Linked DNA regions of Caenorhabditis elegans. The protein of the gene in region 1 purifies or fractionates together with the protein of each later gene. This does not show direct contact. Each region holds a gene or a part of one and is shown in the gene's direction. Other genes may lie near its edges.

Region 1 (8,143 bases):
CCTCGAAGTCCTCCAACATATTATGCGACATGAATGCCTGTCTACAAAACAAGCTCTTTCGCCTACTTGTGTACCTAGGCCCGTCTGCCTACTAGGGAAACATATTTATTCCTACGTGGAGGGTTTGAATCAAAACATAAAAAAGTAAATATATTATCAGCCGATAAAATGTCAATGAACAATACAAATAAAAATCACAAACTAAATATGGAAATCGACATAAAAATTCCCGAAATAACCAATTCACTATTGACACATCTTTGAAGGTTATATTTTTGCATAATCCTTTCAAATAATCGTGTTTTATATTTCGAAACACTTTTTACTGATGACGTCACCTACGGGAAACCCTTACACACACACATAAAAAAACAAGTGACCTGGAAGAAAATAGTAATTTATTGAGAAATTGAGTCAGCTGGGAGGAAAAACAAATAAAATACGGGAACACAGGGTAAGCGGGTCTCGTTTCTATGGTGATATTTGGATGCAAATTGGGAAGTATCTTCTTTCTTTGTGGAAACAAATTTGAATGGGAGGATACTGAAGATTAAGTGGGGATTATAGGATAAAAGTGTTGAGATATATATATAGAAAATTGATGTACCCGGGATGTACGAAAAGGATCAAACCGAAAAGTAATTTGTTGCAATTATTTGTTTTTGTTGAAATATCTTAAGCAAAACAAAAGATCGGTTTTCGCTGCGATTTTCCCCCAAAATCAAGACATCGGGTCTTGGCACGATCGACGCTTTTCATCTACAGTAGCCATTTTCTGGATACTTTTTTCTTTAAAATGTTTTTCTTTGGAAAATTTATCGAAAAAATAACGAAAAAAGTTTCAAGAGAATTTTTGAAAAATAAAAGAAATGGAATTGACCGTGGGCAGGGTACGGTAGCAGCAAAAAAGAAAAAGATTAAATTTTGAAAAATGAGAAAAAAAAATCAATTTACCTTCTCGTAATTCCCTCATCCATGTAATCGAAAATGTCCGATCCGTCTTCGCTGTTAGTTTCTGGAATTCTTTAGATAAAGACGCCCGAAACCGCACAAAAACTAAAAAATTTTCTGTGAAAAATTTTCCACAAAAAAACTTCAGCCAAAAAATGTTTACTTCAATACAGATTAGCGGGGGTCATGTGCAATAATATTTGGTGTTTACATTGTCTCGTACATCTTATTTTTAAGCACGAAAATTTTGAATTCAAAAGTTTTCAGGAATTTATTCTGAAAAATGAGAAATTTGGCAGAAAAACTTCAAGGGAGGACGAATTTAGTGGATTGGTCTTGCCGCGCGTTATGAAAAATATTTTGTGTATGCGCCTTTAAATTTACAGTAGGAAGTTACTCTAGGAAGTTATCGAATTTTTAAGTGCATTTTTTTAATTTACTGGTTTAATCCTGGGAGTAACTAGAGAAAGAAAAACAAAAATAAGAATTCAAGATTTAAAAAAAATTTCGAGACCATAAATACTCACTTCTCAAACTTGCTCTGAAATTTTTAGGAATCCCATCGAATGATCCAGTTTTTGGTAACATTTTTACACGATTGAAAGAGCTCAACGCTTCTCAAAACAGTAGAGTGACCGAAGTAATGGTCAGTGCTCTGAGACTTAAGCTCAATGAGCTCCTCCTCGGACGAAAAGTTTGCTCGAAAAGTGTCCAATGCTGCTGGTCACTTTGCTTTTCGTGTTCGCAAATAAAAAGTCATATCTGCGTCTCTCGATTTTCTTCACTCTTCCCTTATGTTGTACTTTTTCTTCCCAATAACACTTCCGTTTTGGACACAAAAACTATGCATAAGTGAGATGTGGCTTTATAAAACAAAATAACTTGTAGATGTACAAAAGATTAGAGAATCACATCATGAGGAAATATGAGAACAGATCGATTTGAATGGAAATTAATTTAAATTGAGGGATAATTGATAGAGATTCATTTGATGGCTTCAGTCTTCGAATTGACTTATCTTCTTCATGTAGGCACGTAGAGCGTCGGTTTCTTTTTTCATTCTCAAAAGTTGTTCAGATGATTTGTGATTCTAGAATTAAAAATAATAATAGAAACGCTGAATGTTTTCAGATAACAAAAAGCATTTCTCAGCTTCAAAATCTCCCCTATCTCACCGATTTAGTGTGCTGCCCCGGTTGGCACTTCCTCTGGAGCTCATCTCGCTCGGCTTGCATCTGCTCCAACGACTTCAGGTCACTATTTGCACAATCTGAATTTAAATTAATTAATTAATTATTATTATAAAACCAGAAAAGTTCCGAAAACCCACCGAATTCCAGTTCTTCTTTCTCGATTCTCAATTGTGCTATCTTTTTGCGATTCGTCTCGATTTGCTGCTCTTCGATGAGAACTTGAGCGAGTAGACGTTCGACTTGTGCATCTTTTCCTAGCAAACTATTCTCGAGGAATTGCTCAGCGTCTTTGAGAGCTTCGAGTGAGATTGCTTGTGTGTACAGCTCGAGGAGGCCTTCATTATGATTTGGATTCATTTTAGTACTGAAAATAAGTTTGAATTTTGTTTGAAAGCAGATTTTTATATTAAAAAAGCAATTTCAAGAAGAAAACAAGCGATAAATGCAAAATACGTCTTCAAAAAAAAAAGATAAACGCGCCAAAATAATAAATCGCTGTGAAAGTGCGCCGCAGTGTTGCGACGAAGACCACGCCCACATTCCCGTGCCGCACATTTTGCCCGACTTATCAATTTCTATTCTGTTTGCAAGTTTTTTTTTCCTCAACGAAATTATCGATTTTTATAATTTATTCGGTTTTTTATCGAATTTATATTCATTATTTTCAGGTAAAATGGCCACTGGAGCAGAGTTTCGGCAGGATATGCCTCCAAAAGGAGGCTATCGTGCATTCAACTTCCATCGCACTTTTCCGAAGCTTGTCTGGAGTCGTGAGTTGTTTTTTTTTGCTTTAAAATATTACTCGAAATGAAACAACGCAAAACGCCGAAAAAATTGAGAAGAATGCTGTGAAATACAGAATAAATATTTTGAAAAACGATTCTCAAGAAACTTTAAAGAATAAAAAGGCTTAGACGCTATTTATAAAAATAAAGCTGTTTGTCTTGAGCAATAAAATATAAATGACAGAGAACGTTTTTAGCATAATATTTTGGGATCAGTTTGCTATTTTGCTGTAATTTTTGATATTTCACACTATTTTCTATAAATAATATAACGCGAAGAATAAATACATTTTTATCAAATTTATTGTTGAAACAGTATTCTATTTTTAAGTTTCTGTCTATCAAATTTTGATTCAAAACACAAAACTTTCTTAAAATCAATCACAAATTTAAGCTGGAACCGTCGTCGCCGCCATTTTCGGAGCTACTGCCTACGGAGTCTATGCTGCTCTTGAAGGAAAGAAGAAGGACATGTAAGATAACTAGTGAATTTATCTCCAAAAATATCAAGTTTACAGCACTGAAAAGTTCGAAGATGTTGACATCAACAACGCAATGGAGCCGTTCTTGACTGCCGAGCGTGACAGATATTGGCTCAAATTGTTGGCCAAGAATCGTGCTCTGGAAGAGGAAATTATGAAGGATGTTCCAGGATGGAAGACTGGAACCTGGTACGGAGAGCCAGTGTACTTTACTCTCGGAGACAAGTGGTGGGATCCAACTGCTACTGAGGTAAAAAATTTATAACAATTCTGGAGCTTATCATATTTTTTAGGTATTCGTTCACTCAAGGGGATCAAATGAAACCCGTGATCATCTTTGGCGCCAACACTCTGAGTACGCTGGACCGAAATTCTACGATAATTGGTTCCCACAATGGATGTCCAAGTGGTTCTGGTAAATACCATTCATCTGGATGGATTGGCAAACTAATCTTCGAGTTCGTGTCCTGCTCTAGGCCCCTATCAATAAAACATCATTTTCTTTTTTTTTTTGTTTTCATTTTTAGACTGTTAGTTTTCGAAAATGAACGACAGGCCTTTGGTTTTTAAAAGTCGTGTTTGTGTATTGTTTTTCTCTTCTGGAATTTTATGAAATGAAGATGTAAATTTACGATAAAATTTCAAATGAAACGTTTCTTTTCAGAAATTTCATGTAAATAAATAGAGAAAAATGTACCGTAGTTGTTTCAAACTTAAAGGCGCAGGAACAAAAATTGAGCGGTGGGTCTCGCACCGAAAGTGTGAACTACGGTGTATCGTTCGCGCGGCCAACTCATTTTTGGTTTCACCTCAACCGTTATCGGATTTTTATTTGTTTTTCTGAACGTTCTATATTTTTCCTGTATTTTCAGCAAGATGCTTAATGTCGTAAAGTCGATAAACCGTGCGAAAACACCTGTTCGCACTTATATGAAGTGAGATAATTTATTTTCTAACGCCATTTCACTAATTTTATCAATTTTCAAAGAAAACAAGTGAGCGCAACCACCAATTTTGATGTCGTTGATCACACTTTTGACGCGGTTGTTGTGGGAGCAGGAGGAGCCGGTTTGAGAGCTGCGATGGGACTCTCCGAAGGTGGAATGAAAACTGCCGTCATTACGAAGCTTTTCCCCACAAGATCGCACACAGTCGCGGCTCAAGGAGGTGAGCCGCTCAAAGTATACGAACAGAATTTAAATTTTGATTTTTAGGTGTGAACGCCGCTTTGGGAAATATGAATCCAGATAACTGGCGCTGGCACTTCTACGACACTGTAAAAGGGTCCGATTGGCTTGGAGATCAAGACGCGATTCACTATATGACTCGAGAAGCCGAAAGAGCTATTATTGAACTTGAAAATTACGGTCAATAAGATTCTCTAACATTAAAAAACAACAATTTTCTTGCAGGAATGCCTTTCTCGCGTACAACAGACGGAAAAATTTATCAACGGGCTTTTGGAGGTCAATCTAATGATTTCGGTCGTGGAGGACAGGCTCACCGTACTTGCTGTGTGGCCGATAGAACTGGACACTCACTTCTTCATACCCTCTACGGTGCATCTCTTCAATACGACTGTAATTATTTTGTCGAGTATTTCGCTTTGGATTTGATTATGGATAAGGGAAAATGCATTGGCGTCGTTGCACTGGACATTGAAACTGGACAGATTCATCGTTTCCGCGCAAAGAACACTGTCCTCGCCACCGGAGGCTATGGAAGAGCTTACTTCTCGTGTACATCTGCTCACACTTGTACTGGTGATGGAACCGCTCTTACCGCTCGTGCAGGTATTCGTAATTCTGATATGGAGTTTGTTCAATTCCATCCAACTGGAATCTACGGAGTTGGATGTTTGATCACCGAAGGATCACGAGGAGAGGGTGGATATTTGGTCAATTCGCAAGGAGAACGATTTATGGAAAGATATGCACCGAATGCCAAGGATTTAGCGTCAAGAGATGTTGTTTCAAGAGCCATGACTATGGAAATTAATGAAGGAAGAGGAGTCGGACCAAACAAAGATCATATTTACCTTCAATTGCATCATCTTCCAGCTGAACAGCTTCAACAACGATTGCCAGGTACGTGATATTAGTGTTTTCAATTGTTAATAATTTTCTTTCAGGAATCTCGGAAACCGCTCAAATCTTTGCTGGTGTGGATGTAACCAAAGAGCCGATTCCAGTCATTCCAACTGTTCACTACAACATGGGAGGAGTTCCTACGAATTACAAGGGACAAGTTCTCGATTTCACACCTGAAGGAGGAGATAAAGTGATTCCAGGACTCTATGCCGCTGGTGAATGTGCAGCACATTCAGTTCATGGAGCAAATCGTCTCGGAGCAAATTCCCTTCTAGATTTGGTTATCTTTGGAAGATCTTGCGCTCTCACGTTAGTTTCATTTATCTGAACAGGTTTAAACTAAAGATTTCAGTATCCTTAATGAGAACAAACCAGGAGATTCAATCCCGGAGCTTCCGGTAAATTGTGAAGAGAAATCGTGTGACAATTTGAACGGACTTTTGCACTCAAAAGGAGATATTTCATCTATCGAATTAAGACAAAAGATGCAAATGACAATGCAGAAACATGCTGCTGTTTTCAGACGGGGCGATCTTTTGAAGGTAAGTAAATACAGATTTATTCTATTTTCAAAAAATATTGGATATTTTCAGGAAGGAGTCGATAAAATGTCCTCCATCTACAAAGAGCAACAAAATTTGAAGGCGTGTGCCGACTCTGGAAAAGTATGGAATTCGGAGCTTGTCGAAACTCTCGAGCTTCAGAATTTGCTTATCAACGCCAATCAAACCATCGTCGCCGCCGAAAATCGCACTGAATCTCGTGGAGCCCACGCTCGTGATGATTTCCAAGAAAGAATTGACGAATATGACTACAGCAATCCACTTGAGGGACAGCAGAAAAAACCGTTTGATCAGCACTGGCGCAAGCATTCCATCATCGGTATCGATACGAAAACTGGAGCTGTTGATTTGACATACCGCCCAGTTATCGACAAAACTCTCGATAAATCTGAAACCGACTGGGTTCCACCAAAGGTCCGATCGTATTAATTCGTTGTTTTGTTCTTCTTTGTTCACATAATTGTGTTCGAGCTGTATGTTTTTTTCTTTTGTGTGAAATTTATTTGTTTCCTGATTAGAATAAAGTTTATTGAATTTAATAATATATCAATTTAAGCTTATTTAAGATTTATTTCTGGTTTTCAATCCACAAATATTTGCAAATGTTCTTCAAAATATGAAATGTGCAAGTGCGCTCCATGGAAAATCTCTATTTTACGTCATTGTATGAAGGAGTGTTGGAACAAAATTATTCCGAATTCGTTTTGCTTTAATCTTTTTGTATTTTTATAACTGAATTTGATTTTTAATTATTACATAATTAACCATGGACGGAATGATTGCAATGCTCCCTGCTCCACTGCAGAAACTATCGTCGCATATTGATTTTCAAGGACAGAAAGTCGCCGAGAGAACTTACCAGGTAACAAACCACAATTGATTGACTGAAATTACATAAAATAAAGCAATAAAATTTAGGTAATCCTCACTATTGCTGGAATTATTGGCTTCCTCGTTGGATTCTGGACTCAACAGCTTTCATATGCCATGTTCACAGTGCTGGGAGCATCTGCGTTCACAGCTCTCATCATTCTTCCACCATGGCCATTCCTCTTCAGAAAGAACCCGATTGTGGTGAGAAAAAGTTACAGAAATCGTATAAAATGTTTTAATTTTCAGTGGCACACACCTGCGGAACCACAAGAATCTGGAGACAAGAAAAAGGAGACAAAGAAGACGAAATAAATCGGCAATGATGCAAAAACTAAAGAAAAACGTTTTACTCGGGATCTGGTCAAATATTTATTTTAAATTAAATTATTTATGAGCTCTTCTTCATTTTTCTGTGTGATATAAGAATCATCTTCTGAACCATAATAAATTCATTTTCAATCTACAACGATTTTAATATTTTATTGACGTTTTAATGCGACACATTTTACTTTTTTATTCTGAAGTCTTGAATCCTCCTATCCTACTCCCCGTTCAACAGAAATGTACCGCGCTGGAGCGGTTTTACTCCGCGGGGCAACTCGCACGCGGCTTCTTGCCGCTGCTTCAGCACATCAAAGCTTTGCCACATTTTCTCAAAGAAATCAATCGATTTTAATGATGAAATCTATGGAATTAGCAGGAAATTCAGGAGAAAGGAGGTTTTATTCCACTCATGACGATCCAATCGCTGTGGATGACTCATTGGAACTGTACAAAGATTTGGTAAGTTTTTTAGAATTTCAGTCATTAAAAGACGATTTTAATTGATTTTCAGGGAGGAATGTCACCGATTCAAGTGCCAGCCGATATGCCAAATGTCCCAATGTTAGCTATCAATCGATATCCACTATTTCCAGGATTTATCAAGAAAGTTGATGTGAGATTAGATAACGTATTTGGCGGAAAACTGAAAATTAAAATTTCAGATCGTGAAAGATGACAATTTAAAAGCACTGATCAGGCGACAGCTTTCACTGAAACAGCCGTATGCTGGAGTTTTTGTGAAGAGAGACGATGAGTATGTAGTTTTTGAATGGATCTCTTCTTGACTTAAAAATGGAACAATCGCCGAAAAACTAGTCATGTGTTGATATACGGAGCTCGTGTACTCCCCGAGGAAATGCTTTTACAGTTTTTGCCTGATAT
Region 2 (8,631 bases), on another chromosome or scaffold:
AAACTACCGTACTCTTTAAAGGCGCACGTTTTTGTGATAAAGAAAAATTGTCGTCGTTAAATAATAATCTATCTGTAAACGATAAATTTGCATCGAAGATTTTTTAAATTATTTTGTCCGCGTTTACAACAAAACAAATTCCAGTGAATCCATGGGTTTGCGTGTGCAACGACCCGAAAGAATGGCTTCCACGATGGCTTGAGGCATCTGAGGAGGCAGATGTTGCTGAAGGAGCACTCGGATGCTTGGCAATCCCAAATTGCGGACAGAAAGAAGGATCCACAGTAATGCCAGAAGAGGAAGAAGTTTATCGATCTGGATGGATTACTGTAGCTGCCACCATTTTGACAATTGTCACAATTGTTATTATGGTCATTATTGCTATGCTTTATTTCAAGGATGCTAGATACCAGGTATATATTAGTTTTTCCTGCTGAAAATGAAGTACAATTATTTAATTTAATTTTCAGTTCCCACTTCGCGGTCGTCGTTCTGATTCTGATCTTCATAAACTGATTGAGAATGATCCATTGAACATCGCATCTGACTCAATTCTCGTCGTTCCAGCAATGCCAAAGAGGAATACTGGGCCGAAGAAGACTGTACGATTCCAGAATTTTTAAAGAAGAAAAATTTCATAACCTCAAATCAACAAAAAAACACTCACTGGATAATAATAATTCATATTCTCCCCGGTTGAATACCTCATTTTTCTTCGCTTTTCTTCTTCTGTAAATAGCCATTTGAAAAGTTTTCTTTTCTATTCCTTCTCTCGTCCCAACCCCCAACTCGATACGTGTTCTTTCATTTTTCTTGTTTTCTCAATCTCTCTCTTCAATACTTCTCTCTCTCACCCCTTCTGAACCACCCAACTTATCAGGTATCCACCACTGATCTTTTTGAAATCTTCATCGAACAAGTTTTCAACATGTACCTATAGGCACCGCGATCCCTGTCAAATATCCAATTTTTCTAATATTAATATTATTGTTATGACATAATAAACAATGCACTAAGTAATTAAAATTTCGAAAATTTTATTCACAAGAAACTGGGCAAGCAATCACACGAATTTGTTACAAGTATAATATGACACATTAACTAGACTAAATTCTTGAAACTCGAATACATATGAGGAGCTGGGTGAAAAGATTCAGAAGATATCCAAAACTTTCTGATTAATCGCCATCTTTTTGTGTTCAGTGTAAGCTGCACTGTTCTCGTGAACCTTCTCCAAATCGTATCTGAAAATTAAATTTTTAGACTCAAAAAAGGTTCGACCGAGTCATACCTGTAGTTTACCATAATTCCAAAACTGTTATTGATCCCTCTATGACTCGTATCTCCATTCCAATTCAGTCTATACAACTCTGCGCCGTTTCTAATGTGGAAGTTTGCTTAAAATAATTTTTTTTTCAATGCTTATCGATAAAATCATGCTTACCAACTGAATTTAAAGCCATTCCATTTCGTTTTGCATTACAAAGATAATGAGCACACGCGTACATCAAAATGTGCTGGATTGCATTGAGCTGCTCCTTTTTCGTTTTTTCATTGCTTATGACTTTCAGTAGAGTTTCGGTTGCTTCTACTTCGTTCATTTCCCTTTCAGATATATCAGAAATCCAATTGACAACCTTTTCATTCATAATTGAAGCTGAAAAAACATTGAAAGTAACTCAATTGTCTAAAAATGTACAGCTTACGATATTCTGAATTCCCTTTCAGATTTCTGATAAGCCAAGGTCGGAAACCAGGAATCGGAGATAATGTTGAATGAGTTGTGACTGATGGAACATCTTTTTGAAGTTTAGTGGCGACTTTCTTGATGAGCATATTTCCGAGATCAATACCAGAAAGACCTGAAAACGAATAAAACATGTAATGAATACATTTCTTAAATTTTACCAGGCTGTGTAGAAGTGATTGAATAATAAATTGCAGTTGTTTGATCTTCTTCTTTTCCAGTCGGTGCTCCTCTTTTTGTGATTTCTTGTACACTATCCGCTATCTCATCAACTAATGCCACGTGAACCATCACAAGTGGGTTCCGGGGAAGAGCTTCGTGGGAAAAATAGAAACATCTGAGAAAATGAAATTTTAGTTTTTTATTTTTATTTCATAATTACCGTCTCAACGGACCAAGACGTTTTCTGAAATCTGAAAGTCCTCTAACTGGATGAACTGCCTCATATTCGGCGACTTTCTGTAGAATATCTCCAGGAGATGACCACGTAAGTCGTTCCAATTTTAGATTTCCTAAAGAAAACCATGAAGTTAATACTTCTCTAGTGGCCAGTTCAATGTGACGGAGATATGATGTTGTAGTTTTGTCAGTTTCCCGTTTTAGAAGTGCCTGAAAATAATTATATATTCGATGCTAATTTTATTTTAATTTTAATACCAAAATATTAGCCCTCATTTCACAGACTTGCATAACTCCTCCCGGTAAATTTCCAATTGATTTTATCAAATTCACATAAGAAGCTGTTGCTGATGTTCTTACTTCCGGGTACATTTGATCATTCTGAACTTTACAATTTTTGGTCATACGATGTCAATGATAATAACCAACCTTAGAATATAGAGAAATCGCATGATTTAGGGCTTCTTTGTTTACACCATAGTTTGTGACGAGATCTACGAAAATCGATTTTCGAGTTTCTGGCGTGGAATTGGCATATAATTTGGAAAACTTCTCGCTATAAGTCTGAAAAATAAAATTTTTTCAAATAATTGGAAAATATAGTTCAACTTACGAGTAACTTATCTCCACTTGTTCGATTTGTGAGTCCGTCTAAAGTAGATAATAATGTGGAAGAATATCGAATCGAGTAAAAATGTGAATATCGACGAAGCATTATTTACATCAACCTACAAAATAATTATCTATGGGGGAAAATAACAGTTTCATAGCGCGAAACATTCTCGAAACAGTCCGGGAGCATGTAAATCAGCAAAACGAACAAATAAAAAGATAATCAAGTAACAGTTAACGTTTTAAATAGTAGTTAATAAAATAATAAAGACTTTGTAACTTCAGCCAAAACTATTTCTTGGATACCGATTTCTGTATAAGAAATAGACGCTATTTTTGGAAAAAGGCGTGCCAGGTTCTACATGAAACAACTATTTCAAAGAGTTTTCAATGAAACAAACTTTAAAGAACAATCCTAAGACATTTATTTCTACACAAAAATCACTAATAGATCACCTGATAAGCGCTTGAGACAACCAACAAAACAAAACAACGAAGCAACAACAATTCGGCGGCGAAAATCAATCAAGCGCCAACTGCTGTTCGAATTCCCGGATTTCCCCGGCAGTTGGCTTGAATTGCAATCTAGACTAGAAGTAAACACAAACCAATGAACCCTCAAATAGAGAGAAAAAGCAAAAATATTTGAAATAGATAGAAATGAACGAAAATGGACAAAATAAACATAAAAGACGAAAATGAAAATGTCGCGCGGCGGAATTGCGAGAAACACGTGCGGCGCTTGCAAATCAATCGGTCGGCTCGTTCCGCCCTCTTTTTTTGTGCATATAATTTCTGAAAATTATCTGTTTAGTGATAAATCTGAGTTTTCATAATGATAATGATGATATCGGGAAGATTTAATGTTTTTTGTTAAAGTTTTGAAATATACTATACCCTTCTATTTAAAAAATTGGCTACTATTCTGACATGCACTTTTAAAAGTACATTTTTAAACTGTTGTTTTTCTAGTAAATTCCATTTTTTTAACATTTCAGGTAAAAACAAGATGTCGAGCAACGTCCTCGGTCATACACTTCGCTCTTCGAAGAATGTCGTGCAAAAGGCGTTCGTCGCGACTTCACCGAACTCCGATATGCTCCGATTCCGTTCTCCAGTTCTTCAAACTAACACAGTAAGTAATTCATTTTTATCTGCTATTAATATCAATTTTCAGACTAAGCTGGCTCGTTATGGAGGACGTCACAACGTCACAGTCTTGCCAGGAGATGGAATTGGACCAGAAATGCTCCATCATGTCGAGAGAATCCTTTCAGCAGTTCAAGCTCCAGTAGATTTCGAAGTGGTTAATTTGACCTCAAAGGAAGATGCATCTGAAGATCTTGCTGAGGCTATCACTGCTATCAAGAGAAATGGTGTTGCTTTGAAGGTATTTTTGTTGAAAGATTAAAATCAAATTTAATTTTTTTTTTTTGAAGGGAAACATTGAAACTAAGTTTGATAACCCAAGCTTCGTTTCCCGAAACTTGGAACTTCGTCGTCAACTCAATCTTTACGCAAACGTTCTTCACTGTTCCACTATTCCAACTGTTCCAAGCAGACACACTGTAAGAATTTTTTTAAATCGATTTGTACAAATTTCAAATGAAAAGCTTTAGGGAATCGATATGGTTATCATCCGTGAGAATACTGAAGGCGAGTACTCTGGAAATGAGCACGAAGCCGTTAATGCTCCACATCCTCGTGTTGTCGAATCTTTGAAGGTTGGGATTATCAACTGAGATTTAGTCCTAATTTCAAATTTAAAGGTTGTTACTCGCGAAAAATCGGAACAAATTACTCGTTTTGCATTCCAATTCGCAAAGAAATATGGAAGAAAGAAGGTTACTGCTGTTCACAAGGCCAACATTCAAAAGTTGGGAGACGGTCTTTTCCTTAAAGTAGCCACTGATATCGCCAAGGCCGAGTATCCAGATATTGAATTCAATGCTATGATTGTCGATAATGCTTCCATGCAGTTGGTGGGTTGTTTATTTATTCATCAAAATAAATGTTCTGAAAAAAGACGAATAATTAAAAATCCTTATTTATTTCCAGGTTTCACGCCCACAACAATTCGATGTTATGTTAATGCCAAATCTCTATGGAAACATCATTTCAAACATTGCTTGTGGACTCGTCGGAGGTCCAGGACTTGTTTCTGGAATGAACATTGGAGAAGATTACGCCGTCTTTGAAACAGTTAGCATATTGATGAAAATATTAAATAACATTTGTTTTTTTCAGGGAACCCGTAACACCGGAACCACTCTTGCTGGAAAAGATCTTGCCAATCCAACTGCGTTCATCCGTGCCGCCGTTGATATGCTTCGTTTCCTCGGACTTCAATCACACGCCGATATGATCTCCGATTCATTGTTCCGTACGCTTGTTGATAAGAGAATTCACACCGCTGATATTGGAGGAACTTCTAAGGTAAGAATTTCATTAATTTTCTAAAGTTGTATATATTAAATTCTTACCTTTTCTTTATTTAAAAGTAGAGTAGAGTCGTTTTGGAATTTTGCTCAAGATGATATCCATAAATGGACCGTAATTTAAAAATTTATACAATTTTTCTAATATTTTGCAAAATTAAAAAATAAGATAAGTGTTTCTGAATTTCCGCGCGAATAAGTAGAATAGTTTTTTTGCGTTTTTCGGCTGTACTGAGTGATTACTCTTAATTTTGTTTTTTTAGTATTTGGTATAAAACACACATACATTTTCCGCAAAGAAATTTATGAATTATCGAGTTTTAGGCTAATTTTTGAAATGTTTTCGAATTTATTTCGGTTTATGAAGTTTTCTTTGCGGAAAAAATATTTGAAAAATTGCCGGAAAAGGCAAAAATGTCGGAACTCACATTTTTTATTCTTGCAAAATTGGAAAAATCATAGAAAAAATGTTATAAATTTTTTTACAGTTATTATGGTCCATTTTCGATGATTTTAAGCAAAACTTCAAAACGACTTCACTTTTTAGAACATTAACTTTATAAGTACTTTTTAAAAATGCACTACAAAACTTTAATTTAATAAATTTTCAGTCATCGGAACTCGTTCAATCAGTACTCGACTTCATCGAGAAGGAGCTCGAGGACCGCAACTACCGTGTCTAATTTCTACCTGATAATCGAAAGTTTGAAACATCCCACATAGTGGCTAGCTTTACCCTTACGTTCTTTTCCTCTGTTTTTTTTTCGATTAATCCATGATTCGTAGCATAATGCGTTACTCATTGTGCTCTTTCTCTGTTTGACCCCGTTGACTGAACGTTTCCGCCTGATGTCTCTTATCTTGTTCCTTTCTTCCTCATCTCTGTACCCACAATTTTCTTTGGATTTTAATTTTTTCTGATTGTTTGAATTTTTCTCATTTCCAGTATAGTACAATATTATAAAATTGGTTTAGTGAAATTCGATACTCTGTTAATAATGTTAATATTAGGTTACTGTCACAAAGTTAAGTACTCCCCCCACCAATATGCTCTTAACCTAATTAGTCAATACTTGAGAGCTGCTTGAAAAAAGGCGGAGTTTACTACTGTAGCTACTGTATCTTTTTGAATGCTCCCTAGCTCACTTTAATATTATTCATTTTTTGCCACAACTATTCTATTCTTTATTTCACCAGACTATCTAGGAAATATTGAACTAATACAAATTTTAGTTCAATATACCGGATGGTCTGGTGAAAGCAACATGCGTTGTAAGTTCTTTTTCAAAATCAAATGTCGATCGAACATTTCAATTCGAAATAATTTATTTCGGGTCAGAAAAATTGTACTAAAACTTGCAGAAAAAAAGTTGAAAAAAGAATTAATAAATTACAGAAAATATGCATATGAAACTGGGAGATTGAGTCTATCACAACTACATGCGTGGGTGGATACCAAAATATGAAAATTACAAGGAAAGCATATTCCATATTATACATATCATAAGTACATTGGCGGGAAAATACCAAAAGAAAATAAATAATTGAGAAAATAAGTGATTCTAAATTTGACACAACGACAACTTTGGGGGGAGGGTGAATTGCAAATCACTAAAAAGAACAAATTGTGTAATATATAAAAAGAAATATGAAAAATTCCAGTTTACAAGTCGGTTGGATCATCATGATCTTCCGGTTGGAAGGATGTATTCACAAATGATGCATTTTTGCCAGTCAGTGACGATTTTTTATCTTCTGAAACAGTAAATTTTAATTTTAAATAAAACATTAGTTTTTCTATACGGAAGGGTCGTCGTAAATTATTCTGTTTAAAAAAACCAAAAATTTCAGTTTCTTTTTGAAACAAACTTTAAAATTTTGGTCAGTTTTATTTTTTTAGCGATCGGAAATTTTTTAAAAGAAAAGATCGAAACTTTATTACTTTATTTACAAACAAATATATTGAATTTCATTAGAAAAATATGAAAATTTCTTTTAAAAATTTGATTTTTTGAAACCTAGCCTCATATTTTGGCTATTTTCATATTATCGGATATTCCAGTTTTTCCGAAATTGTTTGTTAACCTTTTTTAAAAGATTAACTCTAAAAAAGTTTTGAAAAATATAAATTATTTTCAGAAAAGTAGGGACTAGATGTATCAAAAAAGGTTGAATTTCATTACAAAAATATTAAATTTTCTTTAAAATCAAAGAACTCAAAAATCTTAAACTCTTTTTTCGTATTTCATAACTTTCTTTTTCAGAATTTTTTGTTAAAAACCGACAAAAAATCTGAAAACTGACTGGATGATTTTTTAACAACTGGAGGCATTGGAGAAGAGAACTGCAAATCATTTGCAACAATTGATGGATGTGATGATCGTAATCCAAATGTGCTCTTTTTCTTTTTCTTATTCGAAAAAGTTGTTGCTCCATCATTCGTCCATATTTCAGCTTCAGATCCATCGGTTTCAGGTTCAGAGGATCCTTTTTCTCGATATTCTTCTAATTTTAATTTATCCTTCTTCCCATCTTTTTTCTCTTTTTTCTTCTCCTTTTTCAACAATTTCTCCTTTTTACCCAAAGCCACTGGAATCGTTGCAGTCGTCTCTTGTGTTGGAGAAGCTTCTGTTGGTTTCTTTGGAAGAGGTGGTGGTGGTGGATCCGTAGGTGCGCCAACAGAAATTAAAGTTCCAATAATTGGCTCACAAGGGACTGTATCAGAGTCTCGAACAGCTTCAGGAAACGATGTATTTGACATTGATGGAATTATTGAAACAGGAGCAGCTGTGGGTAGATCCGGCTGAAAAGGGCTATTATAAAATCTCAAAAATAACTTTAAAAATGAGTTTTTATAAGCTTTTCTACATTACATTTTTTGGCGAAAGTTAGTTTTTTTTCATCGAAAAATATTAAAATTCTACAGCAACGAAAGTTTGAAACTACAGTACTATTTAAAGGCTGACGCCTTTTTTCATTTGACTCAAGTCTGGCGCTTCGAGACCGAGTACCGTAAAATTTCGCGTTATTTTTGTTACATTTTTTTTTTGATTCAAAATAAGAAGAATTTTAAAATATTTTTACAATTTTTCTGTACGAACCTTAAATCGACAAACCAACGGAGTTGCTTGTCTTGGTAATGTGGCTGGTGCAAAGACGTTTTGATGTTCAGACGCAGGTCTTTCAAATACCGTATCTCTCCGATCCGTCCACCGATCTCCAAGATCCCAGTCATCATCCAAGTTATTTTTTGCTGTGGGCAACGGAGCAGTGATGATCATTTTCGGAGTAAGCTCATCTCGGAGAAATGGATTCGTGATAGGATTCTGTGTATGCGGAGTTGATGTTCCAATGAATAGTGGTGGGTAATTAGTAGATGAAGATGAGAATGATGAGATCAGTTCGTGCTGTAATTTTTAAAGATTACAATTTTTG

Evidence for each region.
Region 2: the proteins of sdha-2 (region 1) and idhg-1 fractionate together in Caenorhabditis elegans (co-fractionation; one large-scale study listed by BioGRID). This does not show direct contact.

What each region holds. Positions count from the first base shown.
Region 1 is NC_003279.8:10,681,728-10,689,870, reverse strand, and holds sdha-2 (Succinate dehydrogenase [ubiquinone] flavoprotein subunit, mitochondrial), read left to right. Parts: upstream 1-4,283; 5' UTR 4,284-4,287; coding exon 4,288-4,346; intron 4,347-4,399; coding exon 4,400-4,578; intron 4,579-4,625; coding exon 4,626-4,778; intron 4,779-4,823; coding exon 4,824-5,498; intron 5,499-5,542; coding exon 5,543-5,810; intron 5,811-5,853; coding exon 5,854-6,043; intron 6,044-6,094; coding exon 6,095-6,493; 3' UTR 6,494-6,601; downstream 6,602-8,143. Other genes in the region: tag-272 (Structural protein), read right to left, coding at 955-1,015, 1,479-1,539; kbp-5 (KNL (kinetochore null) Binding Protein), read right to left, coding at 1,949-2,041, 2,127-2,221, 2,282-2,501; ndua-13 (NADH dehydrogenase [ubiquinone] 1 alpha subcomplex subunit 13), read left to right, coding at 2,818-2,914, 3,324-3,402, 3,448-3,661, 3,705-3,830; spcs-1 (Signal peptidase complex subunit 1), read left to right, coding at 6,831-6,926, 6,983-7,138, 7,184-7,249; lonp-1 (Lon protease homolog, mitochondrial), read left to right, coding at 7,499-7,720, 7,773-7,874, 7,924-8,015.
Region 2 is NC_003281.10:4,565,257-4,573,887, forward strand, and holds idhg-1 (Isocitrate dehydrogenase [NAD] subunit, mitochondrial), read left to right. Parts: upstream 1-3,756; 5' UTR 3,757-3,767; coding exon 3,768-3,893; intron 3,894-3,935; coding exon 3,936-4,148; intron 4,149-4,197; coding exon 4,198-4,326; intron 4,327-4,377; coding exon 4,378-4,482; intron 4,483-4,527; coding exon 4,528-4,740; intron 4,741-4,816; coding exon 4,817-4,960; intron 4,961-5,005; coding exon 5,006-5,194; intron 5,195-5,807; coding exon 5,808-5,879; 3' UTR 5,880-6,609; downstream 6,610-8,631. Other genes in the region: pan-1 (P-granule-associated novel protein 1), read left to right, coding at 145-413, 471-623; mlcd-1 (Malonyl-CoA decarboxylase, mitochondrial), read right to left, coding at 1,154-1,244, 1,292-1,397, 1,445-1,657, 1,707-1,862, 1,909-2,084, 2,130-2,356, 2,405-2,527, 2,576-2,710 and 1 more; Serine/threonine-protein kinase sel-5, read right to left, coding at 6,860-6,951, 7,501-7,999, 8,298-8,603.